2 linked regions of the Nothobranchius furzeri genome follow. The protein of the gene in region 1 interacts with the protein of each later gene in a biochemical or structural test. Links are inferred from orthologs where the notes say so. Each region holds a gene or a part of one and is shown on either strand. Other genes may lie near its edges.

Region 1 (4,287 bases):
TATAAATTGATTATTTCTACTGGAAAAGGGGGCAGAAATTATAAGATGTTTTTCTTTATTCTGCTCCTTTTCGTTCAAATTTGATTTTTTGTTATGTATTTCTTATTGTTTATATGTTTTATTTGTTTTTATTTTGAATTAAATAAACGAAGAAAAAAAAGTGGGCTCGACTCCGTCCATCTTTGCGACCCCTTGCACGGATGGATAATGGCATTGCATGTCGCCACACCGACGCAGAAGCATAAACTAGGCTTTAGGATTCTACAACCCCCCCAAGGTGCTTCACAAAACAATCAGTCATTCACCCTTTCACTCACACACGCTGTTGGGGATGAACTACAATGTAGCCACAGCTGCCCTGGGGTGCACTGACAGAGGCAAACCCTGCTGAACACTGGTGCCACTGGTACTTCCAATCACCACCAGCAGGCAAGGTAGTCAGAGCCAGGATCTAACCTGCAGTCTTCCAATCACTGGACATCCCTCTCTACTTCCATGCTCACATATACAGTATTCCTCTTGCATCAAATCCATTACCCCAAAAACTAAAACATGTCAAGAAATGTATATATATATATATATATATATATATATATATATATATATATATATATATATATATATATATACACACACATACATACAAGATTATTATGTAAGCCCATTCCCACCATGCAACAATCATTATTACAATTACTTTATATCAAAGTGGCGGGAATGGGCTTCCATAATAATAGCATTGCTCTAAAAATACCAATGTTTCAATTTATATAACAAAGGACTTCACAGTCACCATGCACGAATATGACACTTGGGTAAAGTCTTCATAGATTTAGAACCACATTGTGTCATAAGCTGTCAAAAAACAAGTTGTTCTTTTTTAGATTTCTCTATCATCTCTAGAGAAAGCAACACGATTAACCCTAGGCTAGACAAGATGACATAATAATATTTTATACAGACAGCAAAAAAGTCGCTTCATTAATCTGGGTAAGTCTAAAAAGCTAAATCAGACAAATATCAATCGGTTCCTCTGCATATTCCTGCATACAGTATATGTTCTGGCCACACTGTGACGCTACAACTGAAAGCAGCACCCATCTTCGAAACTAACGTCCGTCGCTCTTGCTTTCCTATGTTGATTCAAATATCAATGTGCCCTGTGTTTCGTCTTTAAGGCAACAGGTTTTGAGCCATTACATACAATTTTAGATTTTATATAAGTGGAAACGTTTTAATAAATGCAATAATACTCTAATTAATTAATTAACCATCGCATTTGTCTTTATTGTGGTAGCAGAGCTAGACGTACATTTGAAATGTCTGCTAGTGAGTGGTCTGCGTGAGCCTAGAAGACTAAGCTGAGGGTAAAATCGTCTCAAAGCTCTAGTTCCGGAAGATCATAACAGCTCTCACAAGAAAGAAAATGGAATCCTGAGGTAGCAGTTAGTTAATTCGATCCTTGTTGCTGAGAATTAAAAAAAAACTGTTTCACCCCGGCATATTACGTCGCCGAGCAGGTAAAGTATAAGTGGTTTGGTTACAGTAAACATATGTTGTCGTTAACTTTACTTTCTTACATAGTACATTTGATGTTCACTCTGTTTAGATGCGAACGCTGAACGTCACTGGTTGACGTCGAATGCTAAGTTAGCTTGCGGTTATGCTAATATTAGCTTAATGGATGTTCGGCAGCACCATTTAACAACAGACTAAAAAGTATACTTCTGATATAGACAATCAAATATATTTACAAAAGAAGTAAAACGGCCACTAAGGTATTTATTTGTTTACTGGCCGTTAACAGTAGAGACCATTGCTAACTACTCGGCTATTTTGGGGTATGTTAAATAGCATTTATTAGCCATTAGCTTTCAGCAAAAAATCCAGATAATCAGATTCAATCACTTCTTGTTAGCTCTTCTTGACATTTACACACATTCGATCATCTTTTACGTAACCGAGGTTGCGGCATTATTGTCCTCATTCAGGACAAATCAGGAATGTAAACGAAAAAAAAAACGACCGCTAGAAGACGTAAGCTAAACCGTACGATGCCATTTTGTTTTTAACTCGACTTTGACCAACATATTGATTCGCGACAAGACTTTTTATCCAACACATCCTCAAATGATAGTTTTTATTAACAGATGCTGATACGTGTTTATTGTACCTAGATGTCAGTTTGCGGTCAGAGATCAGGTGACTCAGCTTGTTTTTCAGTTTTTGTTGTAAGGCCACCTGAGCATGTCAGTGTTCTTGTAACCGTGAGCTGTGCTAACATTATCTTCATGTTCTGCACCGGTGCTGAGTGCTGTATGGTACGGCATGACGTTGTGACATACAGTCAAATAATGAACTCATAAATTTACTGTTTTATATATAAACTATAAAACTCTTCCTAGTCAAATTTAAAGATTTGTAAGACAAGACTTTAAAACCATAGTTCAGGATAAAGTGGGAAAAACATAAGAGCATTCCTTAATACTTAATAAATGTTTAGTTTAACAATCATTGGCTCATCTTGACATGCATGGCAGATATTTAGATTTCAAATGGTCTGAACCATGATTTTTACATAACCAGGAGTGATTTCTGCTCTGAAGATAGTTTAATACAATACTACATTACCATAGTTTCTCACACTTTGCTTAACTTTTCATTAATAATTATGTTGTATACATATTCTATAGATGCATAAAGATGCTATAGAAAACATTTTCATGTGCTTTTGCTTGAATTTTTTTCATATATAATCCAGAGCTGGTCGATTACTTTCTGGGTTTTCAAGGATCGTTAAAACAAAATGAGCCGATTATTTGCTCCTCCTTAATGGTTTACTCTAACATTGCTCAGTGTTGCAAATCAAGCGCACCTCCCACTACAGTGTTGCCAACTTTGCAGTATTGTCGCCATTTCTAACAACTTTCCAGACCACCTTAATGACTGTTTTTTTTCTTAAAAGTGCCTAGCAAAACCAAGCAACATTTCTGATAAATAACAGTTCATCTATATGACTTACAAGTTTCATTACACTACTGTACACACTACCCTGCAACACCACTTCGACTCCCAACTGGAGAAATTTGTCTCAAAACAAAAGTCCTGAAAACAACAATGTTTAAAAGCCGCAAGTAATGTTCAATAAATTTGTGATCTCAACGCTAATTGAAGATTGTTAAATAATCAAGACCTCAGTTTTAATTTCATCATGATAATAATTTTTGCCATAAGTGATCAGCCCTAATATCCTGTAATTTGTTGTAGCATCTGGATCTATCTGAACTTCTGAGAACGCCCTGTAGACCACCCTCCCTTCAAAATCAATGGAAGGGTCTGACAATGCTGAGCGAGGCGGCAGTGACCAGCCAGAGTCACAACGCAGGAGGCAGCTGGACCGCCTGGATAGAGAGGAAGCTTTCTACCAGTTTGTCAACAATCTCAGTGATGAGGACTATCGTCTTATGAGAGATAACAACCTTTTAGGCAATCCAGGTGAGAAACTGTTTAAATTAGAAACACACGTCGTGGACTTGTGGAATAATGTGTTTTATTTTTTTGCTTTCTTATTCCACACTTTTCTAAATTAATTGTCCCTCCAAATCTGCCATAAAAAATTAATTTGTTTTGTTTCTGAAGGCTACTTCTTTGCTCCATTCTATATGTAAATTAGGGATGCAACTGAATTTCGGCCACCAAAATTTTTGGCCCAAAAATGACCCTAAAGTGCATTTTTGGTTATCGAACGAAAGAAAAACAATCACCATAATTGGCCATCAGTTTTAAAGTCATCTTTCTCCACCCTCATGTGGCTATTTGTTCTTTTCTTCTTAAAAATAGTACATTCTGATTTCAACAGTAAAGTTTTCCCCTTTTAGTAATGCTGTTTTATTCCGATCGCTGTTCATATCAACCATGACGCACGTTTTCTTTTGGTTTCACATTTAGCGCATCTACCTGCTACATCAGTCAGTGTTAGCAGTGATTTTAGCATCCTTTCTACACCCACCATGAGCTGAACATGGTGAAATGAGCTTGGGATTGTGTGTGTGATGCATGTTTATACTCATGAAGCACACAGACGCTTGTTGCTGCGAGCAGCAGCAACGTCACTTACTTCCTCACTGAACGAGTGATAATCTGCATCAGAGGGTGAATATTACTCTTCAGAATCAGTCAGACATTAACAGACAAAGAGCTTTGTCAACAATGAACAGACCTGTCTGTATTGTAAATTTCTTTAATATATTATAATATTCACCCTCTGTGCGCTCTGCTCGTCTCCTC
Region 2 (3,065 bases), on another chromosome or scaffold:
TTGGGGGGTATTTTGATTTGCTTTTCTCTTGTGTTTTTGAGTTTATATCTTTTTTTTATTGCAGACATTTTAAAGAAGAAAACAATACAGTACTTAGCGCCTCTCAAGATAGAAATCACAAAGCAACTTCAGCAAATAAACCAAAATAATGCCATTTAGTTAAATAGCACCTCTTCAAAACAAAATAATTTAAAATATTAAACAGACCAACATTTGAAATAATGATTCCTTTAATATCAAAAATGTTGTTGCAGGACAAGAAAATTTTCAGAAAGGGAGACTTAGCAAATTTTTCATGTTTTTAAACCATTTTCTTGAGCCAGTATGTGCTAAAATTATCCTTTACAGGGTTAATGAAAGGCCACCCAGCCCCTGCAGACGGGTGGCCGCTCTGTTGGGACTTAGAAAAAATGGAGCTGTCATACCTGGCGCTACAGTCTGGTTCCAGCACGTTTCCTGCATGTTTTAGATCATGAACACAGCTGTTTTGTTTCATTTGGTGATTAATCACCCCTGTAGACTCTAAGAAAGGCTGGGGAGACATGTCAGCTGTTAAATTAAGGTGTTAAAAGGACGAACGTATAGCGAGGAGATTGGTTTTGCAGTTGGTTCTACAAATGGACACTAGGGGGTGCTAAAAGTAAGCCAAAACTGCCCGGTCTCTCTTTAAATCACTTTGTTTATAGAGGCAATTTGACTAACATCTCTTCATCTGTCCTGCAGATGAGCCCCCCATGTCGGAGCTCGGCCATAACAACAGCATCTACAGCAGCCTGAGTGAGTCCTCTCCTGCTATGGGGGGCCGTCAAGGGGGCAACAACCATGGCTCCTTCCCTTTGGAACATGGCGTACTTCCCTCCCAAGACCAGTTCCACGACATCCGGTCCAGCAGCCCCTACGGCCTCCCCCAGTCTCCTGGGTCACTCCAGACACTCCCCAGGCACCAGCCTCTCATTTCCACCATTGTTTACCCCGACTCTGGCCTCTCCATCCTGACCCAGAGCGGTGGGCCTGGCATCAACCCCGGCGTCAGAGGCTCTATGGGAGCGGCAAACGGCCCCAGCTCCGACCTATCCACCGGCAGCAGCGGTGGGTACCCAGATTTCCCTGCCAGTCCTGCATCCTGGTTAGATGAGGTGGACCATGGGCAGTTTTGATTGGTCCAAAGATACTTGACTATTTCCTTTGCTTTATTTTCTGTGTCTTCTGTTCGTCAAGAAATGGAAAATTGATTCAAAGAACTGTGGCTTTGTAATCCCAGAAATATCCAATTCATTTATTACTTGCCATCTTCATGAAGGCAATGAAGAACATGTCCCCCCATTCAAGACATAAACTATAACAAAACACACCACTATACGCTGTTTTTACCAACTTCAAAACCATTTTCATTTTTCGGACTGTTTTCTGTTCACATCTCATCCTGCAGGTGTTTTATTTCCCCCTCAGCATGTTCAGGTCTTAAATGTCTGGTTGTTGCCAAATGTCTATATATATAAATATATATCATTGTGGAGACTTTATTTTTATACAAACCCCTTGTTGAACGTACATGTATGAAAGAACCAGGGCATGAGAACTTTGTACATTCTTGAACCGGGAATTAGGAGAAAATGTAGATGTCTTAACAAACGGTACCTAGGGGTCCAATGACTACTATGCATTTGTGTGTTCTCAGATGTGTCTTGTTTGTTTTCTTGTACTGGAAACCACCTCAAAAAAGAACCGTAGCAGAGTGGGATGGGGGGAGGGTGTGGTGTATATGTTTGTTTACGTGGAAGATGTTTTATGTATTATTTATTCCCTCTGGTAATGATGGTGATTCATAATTAAATGGCAGGACTTTAATAAATTTGCCACCTAAGTTAATGTGGAGTTTAATTATTTTATTTTCTCCAGTTGGTAAAATATGTCCAAAATAATCTAAAAGAGCCTCTGAAATCGCTTCAGGTTTTAGAAATTGATCGTGAAATTTTTATTGGAGCAATCACAAACAAGGGTTTGTGGTTGCATCACTATGGAGGAATTCTGACCCTTTCTTTGCGGAATGGTTTGATTTCATCCGCACTGGAGGGTTTTCCAGCGTGAACAGGTTGTTGAAGGTGACAGGCCAGATTCTCTCCCTCACCATTTTCTACTTGTTGTTCCATCAATTACAGAAAGTCTTCTAGGGTCCTGAAGTAGCAAAGCAGCCCCAGACCATCACACTACCACCACCATGTTTGACTGTTAGTATGTTTTTTTTTTTTTACATGCTGTTAGTTTACACCGGATGAAACAGGACACACACTTATCAAATAGTCCCACTTGTGTCTCATCAGTCCACGGCATATTTCCCCAAAAGTCTCGGGGATCTTGTCTTCTATCTGATCAGCAGAGGTTCTCACCTTAGAGAAGTCATTTTTGCCACCTTCTGTTTCTTTCATTGAGCCATGACCTCTGACCTTAACCCTACCTAAGTGAGGCCTCCAGTACGTTTGATGTTCTGGGTTCTTTGTTTTTTGTTGTTTAGTTTCATAACATTTTATTAAAAGTGATGTTCACGAGAAGTACTTGTTCTTTTTTTCACATGCATGCAGAGCATAAAAATACATGAAAATATAGTCTTCAACTCCTTTTTCCTCCATTGGCTCCAGAAAGAAAATAGACCGGAAAAACGCGCGGGTCAGAAAAAGCCAGCTCACACCTTTGCTTGCAAAGTCTGTTGTTCATTTAGCCTCCAGGAGAGAGCAGAGAACATCTCGGCTAGTGGAAGCTAACTGGAAGCTTCTCAACAACATGGTGGAACACGTTCAGGCTTGTGTTATTTGTGGAGATTGAACATTGTAGTATTTCACTCGTGAAAGAATGGGGAACGAAGGCAACAGGACAGTTGTGTTGCTGTTAGCCAATCAGAGGTGAGATGTTCGTATATCATGAATATTAACAAGACTCCAAATCCTGCTGTTTCCTGCCCCCCACTCTTAGTTCCACTTCCTCTTACACTGATGACGACTAAATAAAGGCATTTATTTATACTAGAGTCCACAGCAGATTTATTGGAATAACAAGTGTATGACTTCTCT

The links.
Region 2: the proteins of rlim (region 1) and lhx3 form a complex in vitro, tested with the Homo sapiens proteins (2 studies listed by BioGRID). The link is inferred for Nothobranchius furzeri from reciprocal best matches to the Homo sapiens genes RLIM and LHX3.

What each region holds. Positions count from the first base shown.
Region 1 is NC_091741.1:98,396,338-98,400,624, forward strand, and holds the start of rlim (E3 ubiquitin-protein ligase RLIM), read left to right. Parts: upstream 1-1,388; 5' UTR 1,389-1,520; intron 1,521-3,267; 5' UTR 3,268-3,326; coding exon 3,327-3,495; intron 3,496-4,287. UniProt on the Homo sapiens protein: E3 ubiquitin-protein ligase.
Region 2 is NC_091746.1:57,050,012-57,053,076, forward strand, and holds the end of lhx3 (LIM/homeobox protein Lhx3), read left to right. Parts: intron 1-723; coding exon 724-1,157; 3' UTR 1,158-2,549; downstream 2,550-3,065. UniProt on the Homo sapiens protein: Transcription factor.